Linked DNA regions of Mus musculus. The protein of the gene in region 3 interacts with the protein of the main gene of each other region in a pairwise test. Links are inferred from orthologs where the notes say so. Each region holds a gene or a part of one and is shown on either strand. Other genes may lie near its edges.

Region 1 (4,268 bases), on a different chromosome or scaffold from region 3:
AGTCTGGGACAACCATCTGTTACATAGTCAAAAGAGACTGTGCCCCAGGATCTCTGAGATGGAGCCCCCTTCCACCTTATCATGGCTCCTTCTCCCCATCCCTCAGCCCTCAGTTCAGATGTCATCTACTTAGAGGGGCTGACTTCTCAACTATGTCTTTCATCACTGTCCACTAAGCTTTGGTCTCCCACTTCTGTCTCCTGATGCACCCATGAGCTTAGGGATCCCTTGCTCGGAACCCTGCAGACCTAGAACAGTGTTGGGCACACTGCAGGCCCTCAGTACTGATCTTGTGAAGGAATAAATTCTTCCTTTTCTGTCCACCCCCACCCCCAGCTCAACCCACCTCTCTTCTTAACCTGTTCTTACCTGCCAGGGGCTCTCCCCCCCCTGGAAGCCCGCCCTCCAGGGCACCCCCAAGGACCTCATAGGGGCCCAGGGGGGCAGGGGCCAGGGGGAGTTTCCCATAGTCTACGAGCCAGCCCAGCCCGCTAGCTGGGAGCAGGGCCCTGTCCAGCTCCAGTCCCAGGGTCGCCAGGAGTGACATGGCTGTGACACAGGCACAGGGCAGCGACGGCAATGGAGGCTGCACCAACAATTGGGAGGCAGCGTGGAAGATTGTTCAGCTGGGTGAAGACAGGCACCAAGGCGAAGGTGGAGGACCTGTGAGGACAAGGGGACGTGGGTGGGATTGAGTCAAAGCGGCTTGACCCACAGGCTACACAGTTTCCTTCTTTCCGAAAATTTCAGCGCTCCACACATTCCCAGGGACATTATTGGAAACTCCCCTGCCCCATCTCCTCCCTCAACACAGAAACCTAGTGTTTTCCCAGGGGAATTACCTCTAGTCCCTCCTACCCACCTCATCTTATTCCTCTTCATAAAAATTTCAATCCCAAGGGAATTTCCTTCTAGCCGTGCCCCTTCCGCATCATTAGACTATACCCCCTTTAATCCACAGGGGTTCCCAGAATAATTCTGCATGCCTGGGCCCTTCATCAGTGTCACACACACAGATCCCGCTCTTCCCTTAAAAATTTTGGTGACTTCTAAAGATTCTACGGGAAGCTCCGCCCACCCTTCTGTCTGTCACAGTCAGTTCCCGTCCCCCACTAGCAAGTCCCTAGAGGCCCCGCCCCTGTAGTGCTAGTGCTAACTCTTTCTTAAAGGTGTTCCTAAAGCCTTTCCTGTCAGTTTAAGCCAGTCCCCGCCCCAGCAGGTGTCTGATTGGAGGGAAGTTGGGCCTGAGTCGGAGCCTCAAGCAAAACCCCACCCTTCCTCGCTGCTGGCTCGACTAGCGACGAGGCGCAAGCTCAGTCCCAGGACCCGATCCATTGTTACGCCACTACCCTCCTGGGGGACCAGTGCGCGTGTTTAGCCAATGACCGGCCGCCCGCCGTAGTTCAGGCCGGGGGTGGAGGGGTGGGGGGGTGGGGGAATAAGACAATGCGCATGCGCAACAGGTTGTGGGGTTGTCTCCTTGGAGGAAAAGGGGCAGAGGGTCTGTGAATTAGCGCGCAGGCGCAACGGCGCGCGAGCCGACCTTAAAAGCCCCCAAATTCTCCGGAAGCACGCCCTCCTCCTCCCCGCCCCTCGCAACTCGAGCCTAGTGCGCTTGCTCAGCGGATGCGCCGGCCGCCAGCTTCCCTCTTCTGCGCCTGCGCGACCGTGGTTCCTCACTTCGTCTCCCCCGCCCCCACCACGAGGCTGACCCGTGAAGCCCCGCGAGCTCTGAAAGGGCGGGAAAGGCAGTTGGCGAGGGAGGGGCGAGCGGTTACTCACTCCATGGCGGCGAAAAGGCGAGGAGGCAACGGCGGCGGCGGCCTCGGCTGAAGAGACGGTGTGAGCGGAGAGTGAAGGCGCGGTGAGCGCGGAGACGGGGGCGGGGGACACGACGGGGTCGCGGCTACAGAGCCATTGCGCGGGCGGAGGCGGCGTGGCGGGAGCGTTAAGGGAGACTGTGCTGAGAGGGTTGAAAATGAGGCGGCCCCGGGGCCTGGGGACAAATATACCGGGGGCGGCGCAGCGCGGGCTTGCCTGGATCCCTCCGCGCCCCGCCCTCGCGCGGCCCCGACGGGGCGGTGGCGACCCCGGGCCCGCCATGTCGCCCTGACCCTCCACTCTCTGCTTCAGGCTGGGGGCCCGGGCTCGGTCTCCTGAATCGGTCAGATCCGATGTGTCTTTCACACCCGAAACCAGCTCGTCTCGTTCTCTCTCCCTGCTTCACGAATTTGCCACCCGAGACCTCGTGGGTTAAGCCCATCGCCGAATGGCGCAAGCTAGCTTAGGCTTCATAGAGGAGTTCCAGGCAGCAACCGCGAGATAACGCTTCCCAAGTACTTGTAGAGCGCTGTATACGCGCACAGATATATCAGCTATGGAAAGTAGGCCACGAAGTCCTAACCACGAGACTCTTCAACATATTTTTGTTTGTTTTGTTTTAACATTTATTGTGGTGGTCAGAGGAGAGCTAGCAGGAGTTGGTTCTCTGACCATGTGAGTCCCAGGGACGGAACTCGGGTCAAACTATTTGGCAGCCTTTACCCACTGCTCAGTCATTGTATTTTCTTTTAGAAAAAAACCCTGACTTCACCTCTTTTACTCTCCCTACCCCAGATTCTTAGCCATATGATCGTTCTGTGTGTCCCACCTCCAAGGTTTCTGTTTCCAGCCATCCCTGCCGACCTCTAAGGTTTTGCCCTTGCTCTGACTTTCTTGCAGTCCTTGCTCTCTTGCTGACCCCACTAGATAATTATTTCTTGATCCTGTCCAAAATAGGACATTTATATTCCATTTAGTAAAAGAGTCCCTCTTGTCCTTCACCGGGGATGATGCGTGAACCCTGTTTTCTACCCCATGTTCATGTACATGGCTGGCATTCCATGTGAAAGTCAGTCAGTGTGTCATATTTGTAGCAGCTGAGAGACTGAATGGTTGGAGATAGAGCTCAAGAATGCTCGTCTGTTTTTAACACCAGAACCTTAGTCTCTGTCCAAGCACCACATGGATTGGGCTTGACTTGCCTGTATTCTCAGGATTTGGGAGATGGGAGAAAAGAAATCATGAGTTCAGGGTCATACTGACTGGCCTCAATGTGTTTTAAAAAGAAAAAGTCCAGAGGCCAGGCTTGATATCTCACCTACTTAGGAGGCTAAGACAGGAGTATTGAAAGTCAAGGTCAGGGCTGGAGCTGCTTTGAGATGGCTCTGGTGGTGATCTCTAAACTCAACCCTCCTGAGTTCCATCCTCAGGACCCACTTGGTAGAAGGACAAAAGCAACTCTAGACGGTTGTCCTCTGACCTCCACCACCTGTAGTGACAGGTCTACATACTGAGTAAGGGGAGGAAAAAAGCTCAAGGCTTGCCTTGACTAGAAAGTGAGTTCTTGGCTGTCTAGAGAACTTAACAAAGATCCTGATTTTAAAAAAATATGTAATGGGCTGGGGTTGGAGGTTGGTGGCAGAGTGTTGGCCAGAATACTGCTTTCCAGACTCTGGTGTCCATCCCTGGTACTGTAAAAGATTCAGAGCAGGTGGGGAATACTGATTTTGAAAGTTACAAGTCCTTGAGATAATTCCCCTTGGAATGGGCACTCTTTTTTTTTTTTTAGATTTTATTTATGTAAGTACACAGGTTCTCTTCAGACACACCAGAAGAGGGCATCAGATTCCATTGCAGATGGTTGTGAGCCACCATGTGGTTGCTCTGGAAAAGCAGTCAGTGCTCTGTAACACTGAGCCATCAGAGTGTGAATTCTTATCTTCTGCCAGTGTTTGAGCACAGGCGTGATTTGATGTGTTTAGACTCCAGCCCTCCCTTGCCAGCTATGGGCTTTGTTAAGTCCATGTGGAGTCTGCTACGAATACAGAAATGGGATGGACCCAGAGCTTCATGAACTGCATGCTAAATGGACATTCTACCACCTGAGCTGCATCCCTGGGCCCCACAGGTGCTGGTTTTTATTTGAAACATTGTGCCATGTTGCTGTGCCGGTGGTGCTCCTTTCCTTGAGTTTGGTATTTTAAAGTAAACTTTTGGAATAATCGAAAGGTTTCAAAGACAGTGCAGAGTGGGGGTACCAGCCCATAGTCTTCCCCATGGTACTTCTTTTTTCTTTCCTGAGGTCCTACCCAGATGCTTCCCCCGCCCTCAGATCCACCTTAACTCAAGAGCTGGTTTTCACATTTAGCTGCCATGCCCTCCCCAGCATGTGCACAGCCGTCACTTTATGGGAGTTGTGATCATCCCTGGAGGCCTGCCACCCTGAG
Region 2 (3,900 bases), on a different chromosome or scaffold from region 3:
GTGTTCCAGGGCTTTGAATTATCCTTGTGCATACACTAATAGGTCTGTTGACATACTCTAGAACTGTAAAACTAGAAATTTAAATGTATGCATTTCCTCTGCTTTGTCTTTTCATTGTAGCGGTGGATAGACCAGTCACTGGTAGGATTTAAATGAATGAAAGAGCCAGGTGTTGAAGTGCACACCTGTAATCCCAGCACTTAGGAGGTGAAGGCAGGAGGGTCAGGAGTCCAAGGTCCTCCTCAGCTACATAGCAAGTTTCAGACCAGCCTGGTCTACATGAGACCCTGTCTCAAAAAGAAAAACAGAAATGAGTGAATGAATGAATAAGCAGACATAAAAGCAGATTCATTCATTCTTTATAGTTTGTAGCATTTTCAACCAGGATTCTTCCTTTCGGTATTTACTGACCTTTTCTTTCTGTTGCATGAAGATCTCGGACATCGAGAGCCGCATTTCAGCCCTGACCATCGCTGGCTTAAACATAGCACCGTGTGTGCGTCTCACACGAAGACGGGACCAGAAGCAAAGGAGCCAGGTGTGTCTGCCTTTCACGCCCCCAATAGAATATCACATGACCTGGAAGGTGCCAAATATCTAGGATCTGCAGAGCTGTACTGACAGCCGTGTTTCTCTGTAGGTACAAACTATAGACACGTCGAGGCAGCAGAGGAGGAAACTGCCTGCCCCTCCTGTGAAAGGTATGTTGCACTTAAAACAGCAAGCTGGGGTTGTTGGGAGAACCTGGGCCCTGAGTGTGTGAAAGTGTGAGGGCCGGATCCAGTGTGCCATCTCCCTAGGGACTGTGTTAATCCATCTTACTTGAGTGTGTGAGAAGGCGTGCATGAGGACGAGTGTAGAATGGATGTGTGTAGAATGGATTCTAATATTCTAGCTAGCCCGTATAAAATACATGATCTTGTTGTTTGATTAACATGCTGTAAGCCTAGATTGGGTAGGTCTTGAGCTATGCTAACTTACATCCCAGCCGTATATATCGCTTGCTACTTACTGCTTTCTCCTGGCCACATGCTCATGGACCCTTCTCATGGTTAGTTCTCTCTCTCTCTCTCTGTCTCTCTCTCTCTGTGTCTCTCTCTCTGTCTCTCTCTCTCTCTGTGTCTCTCTCTCTGTCTCTCTGTCTCTCTCTCTGTCTCTCTCTGTCTCTCTCTCTCTCTGTCTTTCTCTCTCTCTCTCTCTCTCCTTCTTCTCCCTCCTGTTCCCTACTTGAGACCTGTCACTCAACCCTCAACTCTCGCCTTTTTCTCTCTACTGACCAATCACAAGCTCTAGCCTTTTATTAACCAGTTAACTTTAAACTGGGGAGCAGGGTTTGTGTAGCATCACTCGGTGTATGTGAGGATCTTACTGACAAGGACAGCCAGATAGGTCTTGGGGGCCAGCATTTAGCATTTGGATACACAGCAGCACCAGACCAACCCCCAAAAGGTGTGAGAAGGTTGGTGTATGTCAGTGTGCCTGGGTGAGCAAGTGTATGTGTGAAAGTCTGGGAGTATGATGGTGTAAGTGTGTGCAGGTGAGTTATGTTAATGAGAGTAGTGTATGAAGGTAGTGTGGTGTGCATGTGTGAATGTGAGGCTGGTGTGAGTGTACATGTGAGGGTGTGAGGCTGGTGTGAGTGTGTATGTGAGGGTGTGGGGCTCAGTGTGCAACTGAGTGTGGGTATTATGTGAGTGTGAGATTAGATGTGAGTGATTGCCTGCATTGATGTGTCTGTGGCGGAATATATCAAGTGTATGATTTGTACATGTGTGTGTGTGTATGTGTTATGTGATTGTGTGTTGTGAAAGTATTATGGGATTTGGGGTTTTTTCATGTGTGAATCTGTTGAGTCCGACCAGCAGCTCACATGTCTGGGTTCAAGCCTGGAAGGCATCTTGGAATCTGGAAGAAAAGAGGGAACTAGGCGGCGCAAGAAAGGATGGAACCAAGACATTAGTCTGATCAAGGTTCAATTTTACTATTTGGAGACATGGGGTTATGAAGAAGGGGAAGGGGCCCATTCCCGCCAAATCATCCTTGGAGTCCAGTTGCAGGTGACCACGTGTTGGCTCTGGAACAGCTAGGCGGCAGGTAGTAGCAGAGGGAGTGGCAGAACGATAGGGTGGCAGACTCCACACACCCCCCCCATGATCTCCTGGTGATAACAGTCAAACCTGATCAGCCAGATTTCAGGCTGAGGGGGGGAGGTTACATGAATCTGTGAGGGTGAATTGTATGGGAGTTTGAGTGTGTAAGAGAATATGAGGTTTGAGTGTGTGGGGGATATGGGTGTGCATGTGAGCCTGAGAATGTTTGAGTATGTGCACTTGTGAGTAGATGCATTATGAATGTGTTTGAACATGTGTAAGGTGAATGAGTCCATGAATGTGAGACTGTATGCTTGTGTTTTGTAAATATGTATGAGTGTGAGTTTGTGAAGCTGTGTTTAACTGTTTATAGGTGAGTGTGTTTCAGTGTGTTGGCCACATGAGTGTGAAGATATGTGGGTGTGTATCTGGTGTGCGCATGTGGGGTGTGAGGTGTGTGTGTGTTTGTGTGTGTGTTTGAGTGTGGGCATGGACTTGGTGTGTAACAGCGTGTGCATGAGTGAGGGAATGTGCATAAGCATGAATATGTTCTTGTGTGTCAGTATATGTTCAAGTTTATGAGAGTGTGCATATATGTGTGTAGTGTGTTGATGTATGTGTCCATGTGTTTGAGTGTATGTATGAGTGTGAGGGTACATGCATGATTTGTATGAGATTGCATGTACACAGGTAGTATGCATGTGTGTCCATGTGTGTGAGAGTGTGTATGGAGCTAGACTGGTGGCCAATCACCCCAGCAGCCTCCTGGGTTACAAGCTGTTTTACATGGTACTGGGATCCCACCGCGAGCATGGCAAGTCTTCCTCCCTCCTGAGCCATCTCTCCAGATGTTCGTACGTGTCTCGCCTTGGGTCCCCCCTAGAAGCAAACCTTGGCTCACAGATGAGTGTGAGGTAGCTTATGAGGAGGTCCAGAACGTGCTGAGGGTAGGGGAGACAGGTCACATTGAGGAAAGCATACATGCCGGGTCGGCATGCTTTAATTATTGAACCTCTTCTTTGGAAAAATGAGGCCAAACCCTCCTGACTGAGCATCTTACTGGCACCTAGTTCTTATTCTTTGTTTCCTTTTTAGCTGAAAAAATCGAAGCATCTTCCGTGACCCCCATTAAGACATTCAACCGCAACTTCCTTCTCCAAGGCTCCTCCACAAACAGGCCCACAGCAAGTACCGGTGACACCAAGGACTTGATGGTAAGAATCTCTGTGCCCATTATGTTACATGATGGTCCAGTCCTCGCCCCCTGCACCCCACCCCCGCCCCTGTGACCCCATCCTGCAGGCTTTTCTTCCTTCCTTCTACCTCAGCAGAGCCCCAAGAGGCAACCTTCCTCTCTGGTCTCCTGACCTGCCTTAGACTTTGTAGGGTGTGTGCCACACTGTGTGGCATTGCTGACCTCTTTAGCCTTAGTCTGCCATCTCAGCTATATGTAGCACTTTTAGGAACCAGCTGTAATTGGAGAGAAAGGAAAGAGTGCCAGGTCTGGTGGATGTGTAAGGGTTTTTACTCTGGAATGATCCATCTGTGCTTGTAAGTTTCCGTTAGCCACGAATGCCTTTTCCTAAGCAGAGCAGCAGCTGCCCCTAAATGTGACAAGGGACCTGACAGAGGGTGATGTTCCAGACTCTGGGGATCATGGGGAGGGATAAGAGAGTGTTCACAACAAAAACAATTGTAGCACATCAGGTAGGTCATATTGTAATCTCGCCATAAAGGAGGCTAAGGCAGGAGGATTACTGCAAGTTGGGGGCCAGTCAGGGCTGCATGTGAGGTCCCATCGAGCCACACT
Region 3 (4,538 bases):
AGAATATAAGGCTGGGGTAGACTTTGGGAACACAGGAGATGGGTGGACGCCCTGCAGGTGCAATTGAACATACATTTACACACACCTGCCCTTAAGTCTCTGCAAACACACACATTCCTAGCACATGTTTCTTATGCCAGCACTGGAACGTGTAAGTCTCAACACACACCCAACACAAGCCTGTACATATAAACTGATACACATGCATATATATCTTTTGTCTCTACATTCAGGAATATATATACACATTCCTGGGTACCTAGCCACACATGCATACATAAACACACATGCCTTACATACCTGCTTACATGTTAGCATATAGATATTCACTTATGCTTACTTGCATACATGCCAGCTAATACTCACATCCTTCCTTGTGTATAACCACTCAAAAGCCTGCAAATGCACACACTTGTGCACACACACACTTGTGCACACACACTTGTGCACACCCTTAGCCCTGGTCCTGGTGCCTGCAAGGTGCTTCCCTCTGTTGCAGACAGCGGATAAGCTCCTTCCGGTTGTCCAGGATGGTGTCAAAGCTCTCTTGCAGTCGGGCCTGCTGGTCGACCAACTGGTGCTGCAGAGCCCGGATCCACTGGAGCAGCGCCAAGCGCCGATACATCACCAAATGCGCGTGGTGTTTCTCCTTCTCCTGTTCTTTGTAGCGCTCCTGAGCCTGCAGCTGCTGCACGGCCTGGGCCACGGAGGGCAGAAGGGGATCCAGAGGGCTCGGACCTCGAGGGGTATCGCAGACAGGTTCTGGACTGCTGCTGAAGCTGTCGATGCTCAAGGAACTGCTGGCATAGCCAATGTCCTCCAGAGGAGAGCAGACACTGCTGGCACCGCTCAACTTCTCTGGCTCAGCACCAGGGATCTCCGCACCCTCCGGGGGACTGCGGACTCCGGCCTCAGGGAGCCTGGTGGCTTGGAAGACCTGGTTATCAGAGGGTGACTCAGAGGAGCTCCTTATCAGAATAGGATCCACTTTGCCTGGCACACCATGCCAGTTCTTATTGGCATCCTTAGCACTCTCCACAAAGTTGGAGTTATTGTCTGGTTGGAGGTCTGGTTGGCATACTCCAGGAGGCAGGCTCCCTGGGTACTGGGCCCCCTCTGCTAGTCCTGGCTGGATGGCAGCGAACATCTGGACTGGGAAGGAGAAGGAGAATGAGACAGAGCAGGACAGGATAGAATGGCAACCTAGAGCCCAAGAACCTTGCAATGGTGTCCCTCCCTTCTCTCTGATTATTTGGTCTGTCTCCCTCCCAGGGTTTTCCCTCTAAGGCTCACCATCTCTTCACTCTACAAACTTCTCCCAAGGTCACTTCATCCTGTTATAGCTTCAAGAACCATCCTGTGTAGGTGACTCTCAGATCTGTGTCCAGCCCAGATTCAACCCCTACTCAACCCTATGACCTACCACCAGTTCTTCAGATCTACACATCCTGACAGCTCTCCTTCCAGGGTCCTTGGGCAGGACAGCTCTGCCATCTGAAGACAAGTCTATCTAGCCATGCCTAGGAGCACCCTGGATTACTGACCCTCCTCCCATGCCCACCTCACTGTCCACATTTTGACAAACTCTCCTTTGGCCCTGGTCATTTTGACCTGGGTGATTGCCACAGCCTTTCCACTGACCCTCGTTCAATTAAAAATATAAATTTAGGAGCTGGAGATATGGCTCAGCAGTTAAGAGCACTGGTTGCTCTTCCAGAGGACCCATGTTCCCAAGTCAGATGGTTTACAACTGTAGGCATCGCTGGCTTCACACCAGCCCCCACCCCCCAGCCTCTCTGTTCACCCACATGCATGCATGCATACATACACATGCACACACACAGATATGCTAATATTTTTTTTTAAAAAAGATGTCCTGTTAAATAACAAATAATACTTGTAAAAGGAACATATGTCTACATCTATACAGATGTATAGATATAGACAGGTATATTTCATAAGTCCACAGAAAACCACAAACATTTCCATGATGTCTCATAACAGTAGCAAAATTACAGTTATGAAATAGGAACAAAAGCTAAGTGGTGGCGGCGCACGCCTTTAATCTCAGCGCTTGGGAGGCAGAGGCAGGCGGATCTCATGAGATTGAGACCACCCTGGTCTACAGAGCGAGTTCCAGGATAGCAAGAGCTACACAGAGAAACCCTGTCTGGAAAACTCAGAAATCCACCTGCTTCTGCCTTCCGAGTGCTGGGATCAAAGGCGTGCGCCACCATGCCCGGCTACTGACCACATTTGTATGACTTGAAGAACTGAGGCCTCGTGAGTGAGACATACTATTAAGTCAATCAAGCAGCTACTAAGAAGGTTCCCCTATAGGGTGGCAGCGACCCTCCCCACACCCAGCAATGGGCAGAAGTCATGAAGAGAGACTGAGGTTGGGACAGATGTTTCACTCCTTTGGCTTGTGAGAAAAGGCCTGAAGACACCACCACCACCACCACCACCACCACCACCACCACCACCACCACCACCACCACCACCACCCCACCCCTCCAACTCTCTTTCCCTCTCCCTCTCTTAAAATTTGTCCTAAATCTGGCCACAAAGGAAGCTGGGGTGGGGCGGGGCTAAGGATCCAGGTTCAAAAAGTCAGTGAAATGAGTGCAGACATCCTAAGATCAGGATTTTCCCAAGTTAACCCACAGTATGGGGGCATGGGAGCGGCTGTAGCACGGGGATTGGCGGACTTGGCAGTGGTCCGAGCTCTGCGACCCTAATCTCTGCAGAGGCAGCTCCCTAACCCGCTTTCCGGCGGCTGGGCCCCAAGCCCTCCATCAGGGCCCGGACTCACGGCCTAGAGGCGCCCGCTCCTGCGGGGCTTGCTACGGTCCCTCGGGTCCTGCTCGCTGCAGGGTGGGGGATTCCTGGACCTGCGCGTGCACGCGTGGTGACGCGGCTGCTTGGTCCAGGCACAGCGGCCCTAGCCCCAGCCCGGGCTGCGGAGTCCAGCAGCGTCTGCGCGGCTGGGCGGAGCGGTCTGACCCACGTGGGCCGGTTCGGTTCTCCGCGCAGGAACTGCCTCCTCCCGCAGCTTGACCCGAGAGCCTTGTAGGTCCGGTGTCATCTCCTAACCACCCTGGCGAGGCGCCACGGATCCATTGGTTCTCCTTGCTGCAGACATGGCGACGAAATGCCTCCTTCCTGGGTTTCCCAGGGGCTCGGCAATTGGCGAGGCCGTGGTGCGGGTCTGGACCCGCTGTGGTCCTTTCTGTGCTCCAGCTCGGCACCTTTTCTGCCGAGAATTTTCAGTTCATCCCCACTTACTCTATTTTAGGATCTTTGAGCACCTTTCTGGCTTCTAGATCTGTTTTTTACTTATTATTTATTTATTATATGTAAGTACACTGTAGCTGTCTTCAGACACTCCAGAAGAGGACATCAGATCTCATTACGGGTGGTTGTGAGCCACCATGTGGTTGCTGGGATTTGAACTTTGGACCTTCGGAAGAGCAGTCGGGTGCTCTTACCCACTGAGCCATCTCACCAGCCCCTAGATCTGTTTTTTAAAAAGACCCCTTCACTGTACTGTACCTATTTGATTAAATGCTATGAGGATTTTATTGTTTGTTGTTTTGAAACAGAGACTCATTATGTAGCCCTGGCTACCCTGGAAAGCACTATGTAGACCAGGCTGGTTTCCAGTTGCACAGGGAGATCTGCCTGCTTCTGCCTCCCAAGTGCTGGGATTAAAGGCATGTCCCATCACCACCAGCCAGCTTTCTTTAAGATTTTATTTTTTATTTATGTATATGTGTTTCTCCCTCTCCTCCCCCCCCCCCATTTCTCTCTCTGTGTATATAACTAAGAAGGAGCCCCATTCCAGGTAAGTCACAGTTCAAACTATGGCTGCAGCAATCATATTTCCTGTCAAGTGGAAGAAGCCAAGTCTATGTACTAGGAGAAAAAATGATACTGACACACAGGAGCTCAAAGACAAATGGCTGACTAACATCCCAGCTTCTGCTTCCTGGGTTTCTAGTTTTGATGCCTTCCCATGAAGTTCATATCTTGCCATACCCAACCTGAGTGGAATTTATCTCACTGATAATCAAAAGATTCTTGAATTAATACACTAACACAATGAGGTACCCCTGGATTCTGATCATTCACTGCTACTGTGTAGCTGTTTGCTGTAAACTGAAGAGGGGGGCAGACGTGAGATTCGGAAGATTCTAGAAGGCCCTCTTCAAGGTAGTGGGTGATGTAAGGGGTTGCTGGGACAACAGAGACTCTTCAGTGACACTGCCTGCTAGTTGTGTTGGGAGCTCCAGGGATGCAGATTTTCTGAGTGGCCACCCAGCTGGACTCAGGTGCCTTTGACCTAGCTGCCGTTGAGCTAGCGATGGCACTGTGAGTGAGCCCCAACCCTTAAGCAACCCCGGTCAACTCATTGGTTCACCAAGCTAGACTTTGATGGGACTGCTCCCTGAGTCTAGCATCACTGACCTCTCTAGTGGGAGTGGTATCTGTTCATGTCAACCCAGAAGGGGACTTGCCTAACCCTCGGTAGGCAC
Region 4 (4,649 bases), on a different chromosome or scaffold from region 3:
TAGAACTAGAGTCAGTTGTGAGATGCCACTTGGATTCTTTGAATCAAACCTGGGTCTTCTGGAAGAGCAGCCAGTGCTCTTAACTGCTGAGACAACTCTCCAGCCCTCTCCACTTTATTCCTTTCTAAATTTTTAGTCATTTATACCTCCCCAACTGAAGCCACCCCCCACTTCAGCCTCCCAAGTAGTTGAGATTTCAAGTGTGCCCACTACATTCAGGAGAATTCATTTTTGTTGTTGTGAGAAGTCTCTGAAAGCTGTGCTAAGCCACGCCCCTAGCCCCTCATTGGAGGATTCTAGGCTGTCACTCTACCCCCCCCAGTCACGCCCACAGCCCTGACTGGAGGATTCTGTATCCCTACTTGTCCTAGTTTTGTTTTGAGACATTTGCCTATCTCGTCAAAGCTAGTGTTAAACTGTGATCCTCTCATCTGAGCCTCTGAAGTCCTTATCATTACAGGCTTGTCCCACCATATCTGGGTTTAACATCACCCATAATCTGTAGGTTTCTGGTCACCTCCACTAAACGCCCCGGGCCACTTCACCCCTCCTCCACCTTCAGGATTATGGTCCACCGCCAGACTGTTCCGCTCACAGTCATCAGATGGCACAAGTGAACGCCTGCAGCAGGTCAGTTCCCCTCAGAATCCACCACACACCAGAGCACACTAGCTTTCAACACCCTGCATACTGTGGCCTTCCCCCACGCGCCTTCATCTCTCCCACTCTGTTCCAGCCACAGTGATCTCAGGATCTGTGGTGGTTCGTGTGAACTTGACATCAACTGGAATCATTTTGGAAGAGGGACCACAATTGAGAAAATGCTCCCCGAAATGGACCTGTGGACACTTTTCTGATTGACAATTGATGGGGAGGGAGGGGCCAGCCCATTGTGGGTGGTGCCATCCCTGGGCTGTTGGTCCTGGTTCTATAAGAAAGCAGGCTGAGCAAGCCATAGGGAGCAAGCCAGTAAGCAGCATCCCTCCATGCCTTGAGGTTCCTGCCCGAGCTTCCCTCAGTGATGGAGTGTGGCCTGAGAGTCTTAAGATGAAATAAATCTCTTCCTCCCCAGTTGCTTTTGGTTGAGGTGTTTTATTACAGCAATAGAAACCCTAAAATAAGTCTGGCATAGCTCACACCTTTAATCCCAGCACTGGGAAAGCAGAGGCAGGTGGATCTCTGTGATTTTGAGGCCACCCTAGTCTACCCTAGTAAGTTCAGGACAGCCAGGGCTCTGTTACACAGAGAAATTCTGTATCCGAAAAAACGAAAAATAAAAAACACCCCCCAAGACAGGATTAGTGTGTGTGTTTGTGTGTGTGTGTAGTGCAACTGACATAGGTAGGGTCTGTAATCCAGGCTAGCCTTGGACTCAGTCTACAGCTGAGAACAAAGTTGGTCTTAGCCAGGGCTCACCTGAGTGGAGACTGTCCCTCTTGGACTTCCTGAGTGTTAAGATCATGGGGTGCAGCCTGCCTGTCTTCCTTGCTCTCCCTCTCACTGTGCTGTCTCTGTTGGTCACTTCCTTGGCACATCTGTCACTGTTCCACATCAGTGTGTCTGCTCCCAAGGCTGGATCTGCCTCTTCCCCAGTCACCAGCTTACCTGTCTCTGCAGAGTCTCCTTCTCTGCCTGGGCGTCCTGCAGTGAAGCCTGAGTGCATGCCAGCTCATCCTCCCGGTTGCACAGGGCTAGCCGCAGCCAGGCGTTCCTCTCTATGAGGCGAGCAGCCTCCTGCTGTCCAGGTCCTGCGTCTTCTTTCTCATCACCAAAGGGCCCCGGAGCCCCCTGGTCTCTGTCTTCTGCTTCCACTGACTTTGGAAAGCTTAGCGAGTGGTGGCGCAAGGCAGCTACAACTGCCTCAAGGGAGCTCAGCCTGCACTGCAAGGTCTCATACACACTGGGTACTGATATCTCAGCAGGGCCACTATCCAGGGGGGCTTCTTGCAGGACCTGGTGGGCTTCCACCTCAGGCTCGCACTGTTCTTCTGGGCTCAAGGATAGAACCGCATGGGATCCCACATCACAACCCTCCTTGATCCTGTGAAGATAGTGGGGGAACCCCAGCCACCTGAGGCTCAGAAGAGACCTGGAGGGCTAACCCTAGGGTCGCTAGGAAGGTAGAGTAGGGAATGAGCGGCATGGCTGGAGGATAAACAGGAAGAGGAGAGAGGCAGGCAGCAGAGGCAATGGGCAGGTGAGTGGCAGGAGGCAGCTTTGTGCAGGGGGGGTGTTGGGGTGTTGGGCTAGAATATAGGGTACATACTAAATGCATCCTACCAGTTCCTTGGGCTCTGAAGGCCAGGACCAAGGTATTCCTGATGCAGCTCAGGTTTAGTCTCGAAGCGTCCATTGTTGGCATCTACTTCCTCTGAGCTCTCAGCTACAGGGTCTAGCTCCCCCTGTGAATGAACCCCGTTTCCCCCCAACACACACACACAGTCTCTTGGCCATCATATCCAGCTCCACCTGTGGAGGACTCCCCTACACCACCACGGGCTCTGAGCCTAGCAGGCCTGGGTTCCCAGGATCCATGGGACTGAGTGTGGCAGGAAGAGGGGCACACTTACAGGCAGAGGATGCCTCCCTCGACGGCTTCGGGGCCGTGTGGCCCGGGCACTCATTGCCTCTGTCACTACAGTCTGCTTTCAGTTCTTGCCTTCGTCACCTTAGAATCCTTGTTTTTTGTTTTTTTGTTTCCTGTAGGATTTTTGGGGTGTCTACTCCGATTGACACATTTAAATATTCATATACCTCTCCAATAGTGCCCACTAACTATCTACTTGTTCCTTACTCCCCCATCCCCCATCTCTACTGGGCATTCTTCTCCCCTCAGCTGTCTGAAGGCGTTTCTCTTATCTGTGCCCCACCCCCCATAGAAGCATTGGGTAGGGACCCTAAAATCCTCTTTCTTCCTACGGCTCTTAGCATCAAACTCCCTCACCCTGGGGGTTGACCCTGCTGCGCTCTTCTCTGCTTCTCCAGAGCACCTTGGGAAAGGCCTGAGATCCAGGGCATATCTCAAGCCATTCTGGCCACTGGCTACTGAGGCTGCGATAGCCAAAAGTGGCCCGGGAGGGGCTGGGAAACAGGAAGCCCCCCTACCCTGATCACATGGACAGTTATTGTTTCGTTTCCTTCTCCAGGATGCCGGCTTCCTCCAGAACGGGAGGAGGATGGAGGACCAGGACCTTTGTCCCGCTCTAAAGATATCAGTATCCCCTTACCCGAGGCCAAACCTTCCATTTTCATTTTGGATTTTTTGTGTCCCCTGTTCACCAGGACTCGCTCTAATGTGAAGGTCTTTGTGTGTGTGTGTGTGTGTGTGTGTGTGTGTGTGTGTGTGTGTGTGTGTTTCTAAAACCAAAAAAAAACCAAAACTGTAGGAGTTGGCTTCAGCATTTGCACAGCTTTTATTTTTCATTACTTTGCTTTACTCATCTTTGTCTGTGGTGGTCCTACTTGTCTCCGAGATCGAACTCAGGCCCCTCAGGATTGGTGGCAAGAGCCTGCACCTGCTCAGTAGCCCACAACGTTTCTCTTCAATGAGTCTGAACTGCTGCATCAGGCGGTTGGAGGCACTGGCAACAATAAGCTTGTCCACAGTGTGTCTGCTGCCTTCTTTACTTTTTCTTTACATTTTAGTTTTTATACAGCGTCTCATTTAGCCCAGCCTGGTCTAAACGCCCGATCTTCGTCTCCGGGTCTCTGGAGTGTTGGGATGACAGGTGTGCACCACCAGTCCTCATCAAGGTACTAGTGAATGAATGCCAACCTAAGTTACATAAGTAACTGAGAAGGCCTTTGGCAAGTCCAAGCCAAGTCCTACCCCGTCAATCATCAAACGGCCCCGCCCAGCTCAGGCTTCTGTCCTATTTCAGCAGAAGCCTTGAGAACCATAGCGTGATTAAACCGGAACTACAAATTACGCCCAATTTTGCTTCTATCCACCACAGATCACACCCACTCCCAGTATTACCCATCTTCAGCCCCATTCCAGCCACTCCAAGCCACACCCCCAGAACGCCTCAGCCTATCAGCTTCCATGTCCCGAGGGCCACTGAACTACATTTCCCAGAAGGTGTCTCGGCAGCGCCGCACAAACTTCCGGCCAGGAAGATGGCGGCTTCCTAGAGTCCTGATTGACTGGCCGCGGTGCCCAGGCTACAGAGTGGAACCTGCGGCACTGTGAACGCGCGTGAGCTTTGTGTCGCCGTGGTCTAACTTCGACCCGGATTGCTGTAGCTCCAGGTTCGTTCTTCTTGAGGACTTAGGGGTGGGGGATTCGAGGTCCCGAGATGCCACCCCTAAAACCGCGCATCCATCGCAGGGTCACTTGGGCTTCCTGTGTTTCCCTAGGGACCGGACCGGCGCCGCCTCAGGGGAAAAGTAGTTTTGGGAAACTTCAACTGTATCTTTTCGGCTCCACAAACCAAGTCTCCCAGGTGTGGGAGCCACTGGAGGCCTTAATGGGTCGAATACCCAGTGACCAGGCAACTGGGGTGTTCGTCCTGTGTAAACAGCGGAAAGCTAAGGATGAACAGCAGTTCAGTTGGAACAGTGCTTGTGGCTCAGTTGGTAAAGAGTTTGCCTAGCTTGCATGAGGCCCTGGGTATCCGTCCCTAGCACCACCTAAACTATGTGCGGCG
Region 5 (3,900 bases), on a different chromosome or scaffold from region 3:
TCTTCCAGAGGAACTGGGTTTGATTCTCAGCACTCAACAAGGGCTCACAATCATCTATACCTCTATTTCCAAGGGCTCTGGTGTCCTCTTCTCGTCTCTACAGCCACCTGCATGGTAACACAGCATATATGCAGACAAAACACCCATATACATAAAAATGAAGATTTAGAAAGTATTATAGGCCCAGGTTTGGGGATGTAGCACAGTAGCAAAATACATGGCAAGCACATGAGACACCTGGTGAACCCTACTAATGAAAATGGAGTTTTGTTATGTCTTAGTTAGCTTTTGCATTCCTTTCAAGGCCCTCTGGATGCCAAAAATTGGCATTTCTAAGATACTGTTTTGAAAGAGTTTCTTTTGAACTCACTCTGTAGACCAGACTGGCCTCAAACTCAGAAATCCACCTGCCTCTGCCTCCCAAGTGCTGGGATTAAAGGTGTGCGCCACCACTGCCCGGCTATAAAGGTCTTTTTATTTAGTGTTTTGCCTATTTTTACGCGCGCGCGTGTGTGTGTGTGTGTGTGTGTGTGTGTGTGTATTATATATGTGGTACATGCATGTGATTGTGTAATGCACCTATAGGAAGGCCAGAGCAGGACATCATTCTCTGTGTTACTGCTTTGAGACAGGGTCTCATAGAACTGGAGGAAGTGTGTGTGTGTGTGTGTGTGTGTGTGTGTGTGTGTATTATATATGTGGTACATGCATGTGATTGTGTAATGCACCTATAGGAAGGCCAGAGCAGGACATCATTCTCTGTGTTACTGCTTTGAGACAGGGTCTCATAGAACTGGAGGAAGTCTTGGCTAGGCTAGCTGGCCAGTGATCTTGGGATCTGCCTATCCCCACCTACCAATGTTGGACTAATAGGTACCAGTTGGCTTTTTATAGACGTGAGAGAGAAGAGCTTAAGTCCTCCCTCTTGAAAACAGCCCTGAGCAATTTCCTTACCCCTTACTTCATTTTGAACTGACTAAGGTAACACCATCCTTTCCCAGTGTTAATTTTGTGCCTGCCCAGTCACTTCTCAGCCTTCCACCAATAGCCACATCGCTTTGATGATGCTTCTAGGACTGTCCATCATTTTGACCATGGTCCAGATGTCTTATATAGTATCTGGAAGATACTGGTGGGTTGAAAAGGAAGCAAATGTTGTTATTACTAACTTTCTAGATCATTTCTAGTTTAGTGAGCACAATTCAATCTAAATTTATAGCTCATTGTAGAGTCCTGTACAAAGTTGTTAAAATTCTAAAAATACGATGGTAAACAGTTTTGAAACTATTGGAACATAACTTTTTATTTCTGACAAGTGAGATCTTCAGTATATATTCAGTGCATCTATAGAATAGAGTATCCGATTGTAACCAAGAAGTCAACATGCTTAACTATGTAGTAATTATCCAACCTGATGTGTTCACTATGAGGAGTGTTGTGTACAAGGGCACAGGAGTGAGTTTTGGTTTTTTTGTTCGTTTGCATTCCTTAGTATGGTTTTTGTTTTTGAGGATAAGGTTTCTTTGTGTAGCCCTGGATATCCTGGAATTCCCATTGTAGATCCTGCTGGTCTTAAACTCAGAGATCTGTCTGGTTCTGCCTCCCAAGTGCTAGATTAAAGGCGTGCAGTAGCACCACAGGCTTGCATTCCTTAGTATGTTAATAGAAATCTTCTAAAGGAAACCTGTTTCCTTTCCTCTTAGGGTTATGTATATAAATTTTTTCTTCTAGAAGATGTTCAAAAGACATTTTATAGATACACTTGCAAACCATTTTCCTTTCTTTTTCCCCAAAATATTCACTAAGGGATTTTTTTTTTAAGTTCTATTGACAGGGAGTTTATAATGTGATATTTGTGTCTCTTATGTAGTATTGAAATATATATATGGTTTCTGAATATTAAGCTCTTGTTAAAGTAGCATTTCCCCTTTTAAATGTTTGTGTAACATCTTTTGTTTTATGAAACCAGCTTGACAAAAGTAAGCTGAAGCCAGGAACCAGAGTTGCTTTGGATATGACCACACTAACCATCATGAGGTGGGTTTCTCATTGTTTACTTCCCATTTTCTTAGAGGGGAGGTTTTCTAAAGTACAGGATTTGTGGAATCATTGAAGATTTTACTACCCCTTACCTATTAAGTTCAAGGTCTTTAGAAGGTGCTTGCATAATCCACAAGCTAAGACGAAATCCCTTGAGAGAAAAGTTTCTGATTTTTTTTTTTTTTCATCCTAGATATCTGCCAAGAGAGGTGGATCCATTGGTTTATAACATGTCTCACGAGGATCCTGGAAATGTATCTTATTCTGAGATTGGAGGCCTGTCAGAACAGATTCGGGAGTTAAGAGAGGTGGGTGTTGTGTTCTCTGATCTCAGACTATTGCCCTATTGCTTTTAGGATGTCTGAAGGGAGAAATGGTGTAAAATTACATTTTGGGTTGTTGTTGTTTGGTTGGTTTTTCTTGTTTTGTTTCATTTCATTTTGTTTTTGGCTCAATAGTAGCTTCTGCTTATTATACATTTGTAACTCTGCTGAGAATAGCAATGAATTTGTAACTGTAAAGATTACTGCTGCTTGCTATTTTGGAGTGTTGGTAAAGTCACCTTTTTGTGTCCAAAAAAGAATATAGGGCAAAGTGAAGAAATATTGGTATCTAATACCTTTGCCATTTACATTTCCAATTGTCTTCAGTGTGCTTAGGTCAACTAGTTGCACACTGGGCAACATGCTGTGTGGTTTTCCTAAAGCTAGTGATGTTGAACCCAGTACAATAAAAACTGTGTTACCTTGGCCCCCAAATATTTTTATCTTTTTTCAAACTATTTGTTGCTCTTTAGAATACTGGCTACAGAAGTTTATAAGCTTTCAAGTGATGAATTAGATTAGGATCGCCGTGTCTCATAACCTGGGAAGTTACACTGTCTTACTGATTTATGTTTCCCGAGGCCAGCCTAAGTATTTAGGAATGAATGAGAAGAGTTGGGAGTAGTTCTTGAATGTGTAGTTCATGGTGGTTCATAATTCTTAGACCTCAGCTCATTACACATTTTGAAACCATTATTAAAGTATAAACTGCTTGGGCTGTTAAGATGGCTTAGTCAGTAAAAGTGCTTGCCACACAAGGCTAGATAACCTGGGTTTGATCCCTGGGACCCAGGTGAAGGAGGGCAGAAGAACCGACTCCATAAAGTTGTCTTCTCTTGCCCACAAGTGTGCTGTGCCATACACTTCCTCCTCATCATGCACAAGTGCATTAGCACATGCATGTGGACACAGACACACATAGGGACACAGACATATATTTGTACACAGAATAATAATAAATATTTTAAAAAATTAAAGGAAACTGGTCTGAGTAGTTTGAAGATTGGGGTAGGGAACAGGCATTCCAGGTGATTATGAAACCAGATTTTTCTTGGCAATATATAAAGAAGCACTGGCCTGACTATGAAATCAAAGTATATACTGAGTTCAGGATAGTGAGGGGGTAAGAGAAGGAAAAGGAAATGTCTTCATGAAACTTGCCTCCCTCCCACAGTGCTTGGCTGCATCCCATCTGCCAAGGAGTAGGAGACACACACACACTTACACACACTTTTTATCCTCAGATATTTTGGAATGTTGGTGGTTTTGGTTTCTTCACACTTAGTTTATACTAATCATGCTTCATGGCATCAGAAACATTCAGTAACATCACACAGATGGTATTTCAAGTAGTTGGTGCTATAAATAAATTGGATAGCCAGATCCTCTTCCTCCTCCTCCTCCTCTTCTTCCTCTTCCTTCTCTTCTTCCTCCTCATACTCCTCCTTTCTTCCTCCTCCTATTTTTCTTTTCTCCTCCTCTGACACAGTATCTCATATATCTCAGGCCTTAAATTCATTGAACATCAGAAAGTTAC
Region 6 (3,900 bases), on a different chromosome or scaffold from region 3:
AGGACAAAGCTCATACCAGAGACTAAAAATAAAGTGTTTAGACTTGGACATGAAGGTGGATCTTCCTTTGAAGACCTTGAACATTATCTTCACGGGGCCCATTTGGCCTCATTTCTCACAGACTCCTATCTGAAGAGATGTGCCTTGAAAAGAAATGGACATTTGCTGAACACTCTCTACCTATCAGGCATTGTGCTTGCTTAATCCTCAGAACAAGGATCTGGGGTGTTATTCTCCCCTTCTCTATTTTGCATACGAGGAAACAGGACTTGGAGCTCGAGCATGACTAACACGCCAGAGCTCCTGGAAAATGAGGGGTGGATTCCATACTGGAGCTAAAGTTTTCTAGTGTACCCAATCACCTACTGGCTTGAACTGCTTCTATCTTTCTGGGGTTGCTGGAGTATATTCCCAGAGAAGGTTTTTCAAAAGAGCCTTCTTTCTTCCTTCTACACTTCCCATCTCTGAGGACCCTTTGTATGCCCAAGGGCACAAGAAATAAATGGGTCAAAAAGACATGCTCTCTTCTCCACCTAGTTTTAGAACCACTGACAGTATTTCACCCTGTTGTTAATGTAATTTTGCTTAGTAGCTAAGTGAATTTCATGAACCCACAGCAGAGCTCTGAGAGCACCTGAAATACCATTTCTTCACACAGAGGAGTATAAGCTAGAAGATCCAGGGCAAGAATCCATATGTTTTGTTTTATTCTGGGAGGCCACCACTGTCTTCCTGCCACTGAACTAGCTTCCAGGGTAACAGTGACACCACAAAAGCAACTTCACAATTTACCCTGGGTTCTGATGACACCAGAAAAACAACATTCCTTACCCTTAAGGCTACTGACAAAGGAACAGGAGGCTCGGGCCAAGAGGAAGAAAAACTGTTCCGAAGCCAGAGCACAACAGAGCAATCCAGGCAGGGAAGGGAATATTGTAAATGAAGATCAAACAGACTTGTAAAAGCTAACTGGAAACTGCACAGAATGACATGAAAGGGTCATTGGGAGACCCAGCAAAAATAGAACAGACTGACAAGTCCCCACCAAGAAGGACTTCAGTGGGAGTTGCACTGAGGGAGGCTGGGGTAGGGGGGCAGCCAAGCTTAAGCATCTGTAGGAACAAGGACAGTTCATCTGTTCTCAACCCAATTCATGCTCCCAGTGGGCTCCAACCACTATGAAGTTTTTATTGCTGCTGTTATTAAAGCAATTGGAAAGAATTAGGCATTGTCTAGCTGGGTGGAGTCCATTAGGGACTCGATAAAGAAGAGGATTAATTCATTGTTACAGTCCTAGGAGTATTTCCAGACAAAGGAAGCACTATTATAAGGAAGGCTCAGCTCTGCCCAGCCCCATACCCTCCAACTCCGTAATCAGAACCATGAGTCCAGGTCATACCAAGGCCCTTCCTTTTCTGGTCTTTCTACAATCTGCCAGTGGGTAATAATATGACACAGCAATAAGTGTTTAGTAGGTGAACCCGTGGCATAGGCTGGGGATTTCAAACATTAATCATTGTTCTTTATGTTCATCCCATCTCCCAGAGCCTACAATCCCTTCAACATTATTGAGGACAGTATTCCCTAAGGTCTTTTCTTCAGCTAGCCTTGACAATGGCAGGAACTCTAATGGATTTTCTCTGACTTAGTATGGAGAACACTCCTTCAATGTGACTAGAGTTGAGGCAGAAGCCTTCGTGGCCTTTCATGCACTAACAGGAAAAAGATAAGACTCATTCTCTCCTGGATGTTCTAGAAGGCTAAAGAAAAGAGTCAGGCAACATTTTCATAAACTTTACCTCCAACCAGACCTGCCACATTTCCACACCTGTTACTACCATGCATGCATTCACGCCTGCATCTGGAGATTGCAGACTTACGTTTGGCAAAGAGCTGCGAGATGGTCTTCCTGGTGTCCTCGGACCCCTCGTACTCCTTCTCTGCCAGCTGCTTGTTGGCAGTCTCTAGACGGTCTGTGGAAGGTGAAGACGGTTAACACACATGCTATCTGCCTTCTAAATACAGGCCTTTGGCAAAAGTCATCACTGGGATTTTGGTTTTTTTGGGTTTGTTTTGTTTTGTTTTTGACAAACAGGGTGGGTGGCATAGTCCCAAATTTTCAAATGTAAATCTTAAAATAATACAAGAGCTACTCTAAAGCAAGAATCAGATGTCGTGGCACATGCTTTTTTATCCTCACTGCCTGGGAGGGGAAAGCAGGGGAATTGTGGAATATGAGGCTAGCATGGACTATGTTGTAAATCCTAGGCCTGCCTGAACTATGTAAAGAGACCTTGTCCCCCAAACAAACAAGCAAACAAAATAACTAGAAAGTGAAGTGCACTTGCCGCTCACCTCTCAGATCTCTGTTGAAGTCATGCATCCTTCTAATCTCGCCCTCCAGCTTGTTCCTCATGGCTTTCTCCAGAGCCTCTCTTTTGGAAGATGACTTCACCAAGTTCTCATAAGCCTCTGAGACCCGTTGGATTTCTGTCTCCACCTTAACATAAAAAAAGGAAAGAAAGATGATATTGATACTAGGAGTCGGATGGAAATGACAGTTTAGAACCACACATGTGACTCTTCAGTTGCATCTCCTTTCAGATAGACTGTAAGCTCAGTCAATGACTCAAATGCTTCATGGGATTTCCTTAGGACAAAAGCAAAGTCTCTCTTTCTCCATAAAATGGACTTTATACCTGATTTTAATTTCTAAATTATTTTCTGAGTGTAATTTCTACATTATTTCTTGATTTTGAAAATATTAACATTGTATATTATATAGCAATAACTTTATTTTGAAGCCCTCAAAGGACTTCTCTCTATGTGGTTCTCTCATTTTGTCCTGACATCTGCCTAGGCAATGTTAACTTGTCCCAGTTTAGCATAAGAGAGTAGTTAAATTACTTATCTCAAGTACAGATCAGCAGCACACATGAGCCCTAAAATCCCAAATCGTCAGCCTCCTGCAGTATAATTCAATTCACTTTCACAACTATTTAATCAAGGGTCAAAGAGTTAGGAAGGTCTGATTAACCAGAGTGAGAACATGCACATTATCCTTGCCTTCAAGGAACTTTCAGTATAATCAAGTCAGAGAATAGAGGGCAAACTACAGCTTTAAAAAAAACAAGGCATAATGATATAAAGCTAAAAGAAGGAGCAAAGATCCCTGGGTGGGGGAGGGGAGGAAAATAATGTCAGGGAGAGATGGCATTTAGAGTCGGATCCTGAAAGCTGGATTGGATTTCAATGGGCAGAGGTGAGTAGAAGGGTATTCTATTCTGAGTAAGCAAATGCATTCCCAGAATGACCAGGAGTCTAATCTGGCTGGACACTGTGTGGTAGCCACAGGGAAGCTAGAGGGATATGGCTGTGAAGATGGACTGAAGGCAGGTCATAAAATGGTTTTAAATGTCAGGCATTTGGACTTTAGCCCATACTCACCAGAGTCAGTGGGAAACTAGTACAGATTTCTAACTGAAAGTCAGGATTTGTGTTATTTTATGACACCTCTCTGCAAATCTTATAAAATGAGAAGAAGAAGAAAAAAAGAAAAGAAAAAAAAAGAACCAGACAAAGACTCTTGTCCAGAATTAGACAGAAACAGGAAGAAAACAAGAAATTAGACTCCAGAGCCTTGCGACCAGTACAGCATGTGTAAGAACCGCAGACCTTATTTGCATATAATTTGTATAAGACAAATAAACCCCATGGCCTATTAAGCAATTTTGAAATTAAGTCTGACTCCTCCAACCGCTCTGCATTGCTTCTCAGTTTTCCACTCTTCCTGAACAAAGCTCAGGGTGCTTTAGGGGGTGAAATACACAGGCGCCCCAATTGAAGGTGGGGGAGGGGAGGGAGGATTTCTATCACCTCCAATTCCAGCTGCCCCCATCT
Region 7 (3,900 bases), on a different chromosome or scaffold from region 3:
AAAAAATTAAAAAAAAAAGAATGTCAGCAGCCGCCCAGGCAGTGGTGGCACATGCCTTTAATCCCCGCACTTGGGAGGCAGAGGCAGGCGGATTTCTGCATTCAAGGCCAGCCTGGTCTACAGAGTGAGTTCCAGGACAGCCAGGGTTATACAGAGAAACCCTGTCTCAAAAAAAACAAAAAAACAAAAACCAACAACAACAAAAGACAAACAAACAAAAGAATGTCAGCAAGTATAACAATCAGTCAAGCTGCAAATCAAGGCTTTGAGTTCTCAGAGCTGCCTCTCATCATGGCTTTGACTTCTTGAGGATTCTCTCACAATAAAACCAAAACAAAACAAAAATCAAACAAACAAAACCAACAGGGGCTGGAGAGATGGCTCAGCAGTTAAGAGCACTGACTGTTCTTCTAGAGGTCCTGAATTCAATTTCCTGCAATCACATGGTGGCTCACAACCGTCTGTAATGGGAACCAATGCTCTCTTCAAAAAATAGAGAACCGGCTGGGCAAGGTGGCACACGCCTTTAATCCCAGCACTTGGGAGGCAGAGACAGGCGGATTTCTGGGTTTGAGGACAGCATGGTCTACAGAGTGAGTTCCAGGACAGCCAGGGCTACACAGAGAAACCCTGTCTCAGAAAAAAACAAAAATGAAACACCAAAGGGTTGGAGAGATGGCTCAGTGATTAAGAGCATTGGCTGCTCTTCTAGAGGACCCGAGTTCAATTCCCAGTACCCACGTGGTGACTCACAACTGTCTGTAACTCAAGTCCCAGTGGATCTGACTCTCTTACACAGACATGAAGGGAAAACACCAGTGTACATAAAGATTAAAAAAAAATTTTTTTAAAGGGCTAGAGAGATGGCTCAGACATTAAGAGCACTGGGAGCTCTTCCAGAGGTCCTGAGTTCAATTCCAAGCAACCACATTATAGATGGGTCTAACCATCTATAATGAGATCTGGTGCCCTCTTCTGGCATGCAGGCATACATGCAGGCAGAACATTGTATACATAACAAAAATTTAAAAACCAAAACCAAACAAACAAAAAAACTTTAAAAATAAAACAACAACAAAAACCTTACTTAGAAATTAAGAGCTCCAAGACAAAGGAAGTTTAGGTACCACTAGTTCAAAAATGCCTCCCAGGGTCCCGCATGGTAGCCCACGCCTTTACTTGGAAGGCAGAGTCAGATCTCTATGAGTTTAGTATAGCTTGGTCTATACACCTAGTTACAAGACACCATAATAAGACCTTGTTTCAAAAAAGCAAAGCAAAACAAACAAACAAAACATTCTTCTCCGGTGGCTAAAAGTATTCAAATAGGTCCACAGTCCAGCTAAAATTTAGTGTGAATTTGGGAATAGTTTCTTTTGCTTGGCACATTGCAGGAATGGGAGGTGGGATTCGCAGCCTGTAGCCTTGAACTTACAGCAACCCCCCTGCCTCAGTTTTTCAGGATGTTGGCTTTACAGTTAACACACCATCCCTGGCTCTGGGTGGAGCTCTGGGCTCCATTTTTCAGATAAGATCGCCAAGACTTAGAACAGTTACTACAAGGTCTGATAGGATGGCGGCCAACTCGGAGAACCCACCTGCTTGTCCAGGGCCCGGTTCTGCTCTTGCAGCGCCTCGATTTCCACCTGCACCTGGGCCCGAGACTTGAGAAGACATTCCATTTCCGCCAAATGCTTCTTGTCTCCCAGTCGCTTGACCTGGCTCTGCGCTACGTTAATCTGCGTCTGGAGCTTGGCTCGAAGCATCTCCAGCTGCCGAATCTCCTCGCTGTCCAACCGGGAGGAGCAGGTGGTCCGCACCAGCAAGTGGCAGCACTCAACCAGTTCCAGCCGGCGCCCCTCACTGAGCCCCGACACCCCACCTCCCCACCCCCACCTCCCACCCCCCACCCCCCACCCCGCCCCAGACCCTGTTTTTCCCAATCCCGTCTCTTCTCTACCCCAGCACTGGACTCTCCAGAGATCCTGCAACTCTCAGGCCCTGCACCTCCTCCTGTTCCTACCTTTTATCCTGTCCCTTTCATGAACCACTCCCCTGTCCCGGCTCCTTCCCCACCCCTGTACTTCCCCTCCCCTCCTCCCCTCCTCCCCTCCTCCCCTCCTCCCCTCCTCCCGTCCTCCCCTCCTCCCCTCCTCCCCTCCTCCCCTCCTCCCCTCCTCCCCTCCTCCCAGGGCTCAGAAGTCCCTTTTCTGTTCTTTTCCCCAGCTTACACTTGCTTCCTGAGGCGCTGATGAACTTCCTTGCTGTATGCCCGCCTTTCCAACTCCATCATCTTGCACTGCCGTTGCAGGCGGCTGAGCTCCCCATCCACTGTGGATGAGACCAGGCAAAGGACTCAAAGGGATCAGGACTGTCAGATCTCCCCAGAGGGTCCCTTTAGGATCTCAAAAACTACAACTGTACCCCAGTCCCAGCCCTGGCATCCTATGGAACCTCATCTCAGTCCCTGTGTTCCCAGTAGTCAAACTGACCCATTCCCATCCCAGCTGTTCTGGCTTAAGGATGCCCCCTGGTCTAAAACACCTGGGACTAGAGAAAGAGGCTCCCTCCTAGCTTTCTGTTGGACTGCAGTGGCCTCTCTCCTACTATCCTCTGGGCTTCACCCAGCCTCCCACTCATCTCCCTACAAAATCCTCAAGGACTTCCTACACCCAGAATGGTCCCTTCCTTCCTCTTAGATGCCTCAGTCTAAGGCCAGAAGAGCCTGCCATACCCATCTGTCTTAGTTAGGGTTTCCATTGCTGTGAAGAGACACCATGACCAAGGCAACTCTTAAAAAGGACATCATTTTATTGGGGCTGGCACACAGGTTCAGTACATTATCATCATACCAAGAAGCATGGCAGCATCCAGGCAGGCATGGTGCTGGAGGAGCTGAGAGCTCTACATCTTGTTCCAAAGGCAAACAGGAAAAGACTGACTCCCAGGCAGCTAGGAGGAGGGTCTCAAAATCCACCCCCACAGTGACACAAGTCCTCCAACAAGGCTATACCTACTCCAAGAAGGCCACGCCTCCTAATAGTGCCACTCTCTGGGCCAAGCATATTCAAACCACCACATTCTACTCTCTGACTCCCCTAGGCTTGTTCAAACACATGATTCTATGGGGACCACACCTAGACACAGCATGACACTAAAACATTTAGTCCAACTAGAAATGTCCCCATAGTCTATAACAGTCTCAACAATGTTAAAAGCCTGAAGTTCAAAGTCTCGTCTGATGTGCATCCAATCACTTAACTGCAATCCCAAAGCAAGATCAAAAGCCAGCTGGGCAAACTCCAAACTCTACATCTCTATGTCAAAGTGTTCTTCAGATCTCCAACTCTTCTCTGCTTTGTTGACTGCAACAAACTTCTTTCTCCTGGGCTGGTTCCACTCCCTGTTAGCAGCTTTCTTCAGAAGGTATTCCCTGGCATTTCAAACATCTTGGGGTCTCCAAGGCAACTTCAACTTTGCAGCTTCTTGTTCCAATGTCTGGGATCCCCACATGATCTTCTGGGCTCCTCCAAAGGGCTTGGATCACATCTCCAGCTCTGCTCTCTGTAGCACTCTAGGCTCTGGTTGACTCCACTCCATTGCTGCTGCTGTGCTTGGTGATCATCCCATGGTGCTGACATCTCCAATACACTGGAGTCTTCTGCTGTAACTAGGCTTCACCAACAGCCTCTCATAGGCTCTCTTTATGGTGCCAAGCCTCAAATTCTTTGCATGACCCTTTCAGTCCTGGTCAGTCAACCGCATCTGAGGTTGCACCTTCACCAATGGCCTTCCAAGGTCTCTCACAGTGCCAAACTGCAGCTGCTCTTCATGACCCCTTCATGCCTTCAAAACTAGTACCACCTGGGTGACTCTTACACATTACCAAGTCTAGCTACC

What was found.
Region 1: the proteins of 5730409E04Rik (region 3) and Nup62 interact in binary tests that used the Homo sapiens proteins (3 or more experiments, as listed by UniProt). The two-hybrid records come from large-scale screens. The link is inferred for Mus musculus from reciprocal best matches to the Homo sapiens genes C1orf216 and NUP62.
Region 2: the proteins of 5730409E04Rik (region 3) and Myrip interact in binary tests that used the Homo sapiens proteins (3 or more experiments, as listed by UniProt). The two-hybrid records come from large-scale screens. The link is inferred for Mus musculus from reciprocal best matches to the Homo sapiens genes C1orf216 and MYRIP.
Region 4: the proteins of 5730409E04Rik (region 3) and Ushbp1 interact in binary tests that used the Homo sapiens proteins (3 or more experiments, as listed by UniProt). The two-hybrid records come from large-scale screens. The link is inferred for Mus musculus from reciprocal best matches to the Homo sapiens genes C1orf216 and USHBP1.
Region 5: the proteins of 5730409E04Rik (region 3) and Psmc6 interact in binary tests that used the Homo sapiens proteins (3 or more experiments, as listed by UniProt). The two-hybrid records come from large-scale screens. The link is inferred for Mus musculus from reciprocal best matches to the Homo sapiens genes C1orf216 and PSMC6.
Region 6: the proteins of 5730409E04Rik (region 3) and Amot interact in binary tests that used the Homo sapiens proteins (3 or more experiments, as listed by UniProt). The two-hybrid records come from large-scale screens. The link is inferred for Mus musculus from reciprocal best matches to the Homo sapiens genes C1orf216 and AMOT.
Region 7: the proteins of 5730409E04Rik (region 3) and Ccdc114 interact in binary tests that used the Homo sapiens proteins (3 or more experiments, as listed by UniProt). The two-hybrid records come from large-scale screens. The link is inferred for Mus musculus from reciprocal best matches to the Homo sapiens genes C1orf216 and ODAD1.

What each region holds. Positions count from the first base shown.
Region 1 is NC_000073.6:44,814,620-44,818,887, forward strand, and holds the start of Nup62 (nuclear pore glycoprotein p62), read left to right. Parts: upstream 1-1,468; 5' UTR 1,469-1,864; exon of another isoform or gene 1,865-2,039; intron 2,040-4,268. Other genes in the region: Atf5 (cyclic AMP-dependent transcription factor ATF-5), read right to left, coding at 370-547. UniProt on the Homo sapiens protein: Essential component of the nuclear pore complex. The N-terminal is probably involved in nucleocytoplasmic transport.
Region 2 is NC_000075.6:120,464,261-120,468,160, forward strand, and holds part of Myrip (rab effector MyRIP), read left to right. Parts: intron 1-433; coding exon 434-538; intron 539-640; coding exon 641-701; intron 702-3,185; coding exon 3,186-3,304; intron 3,305-3,900. UniProt on the Homo sapiens protein: Rab effector protein involved in melanosome transport. Serves as link between melanosome-bound RAB27A and the motor proteins MYO5A and MYO7A. May link RAB27A-containing vesicles to actin filaments. Functions as a protein kinase A-anchoring protein (AKAP).
Region 3 is NC_000070.6:126,608,290-126,612,827, reverse strand, and holds the start of 5730409E04Rik (UPF0500 protein C1orf216 homolog), read right to left. Parts: upstream 2,975-4,538; 5' UTR 2,816-2,974; intron 1,153-2,815; 5' UTR 1,148-1,152; coding exon 455-1,147; 3' UTR 1-454.
Region 4 is NC_000074.6:71,392,770-71,397,418, forward strand, and holds the start of Ushbp1 (Usher syndrome type-1C protein-binding protein 1), read right to left. Parts: upstream 3,033-4,649; 5' UTR 2,945-3,032; intron 2,701-2,944; 5' UTR 2,625-2,700; coding exon 2,571-2,624; intron 2,403-2,570; coding exon 2,281-2,402; intron 2,042-2,280; coding exon 1,606-2,041; intron 1-1,605.
Region 5 is NC_000080.6:45,332,684-45,336,583, forward strand, and holds part of Psmc6 (26S proteasome regulatory subunit 10B), read left to right. Parts: intron 1-1,969; coding exon 1,970-2,037; intron 2,038-2,233; coding exon 2,234-2,348; intron 2,349-3,900. UniProt on the Homo sapiens protein: Component of the 26S proteasome, a multiprotein complex involved in the ATP-dependent degradation of ubiquitinated proteins.
Region 6 is NC_000086.7:145,473,840-145,477,739, forward strand, and holds part of Amot (angiomotin), read right to left. Parts: intron 2,501-3,900; coding exon 2,356-2,500; intron 1,974-2,355; coding exon 1,881-1,973; intron 1-1,880.
Region 7 is NC_000073.6:45,926,955-45,930,854, reverse strand, and holds part of Ccdc114 (coiled-coil domain-containing protein 114), read right to left. Parts: intron 2,332-3,900; coding exon 2,232-2,331; intron 2,065-2,231; exon of another isoform or gene 2,024-2,064; intron 1,789-2,023; coding exon 1,599-1,788; intron 1-1,598. UniProt on the Homo sapiens protein: Component of the outer dynein arm-docking complex (ODA-DC) that mediates outer dynein arms (ODA) binding onto the doublet microtubule. Involved in mediating assembly of both ODAs and their axonemal docking complex onto ciliary microtubules.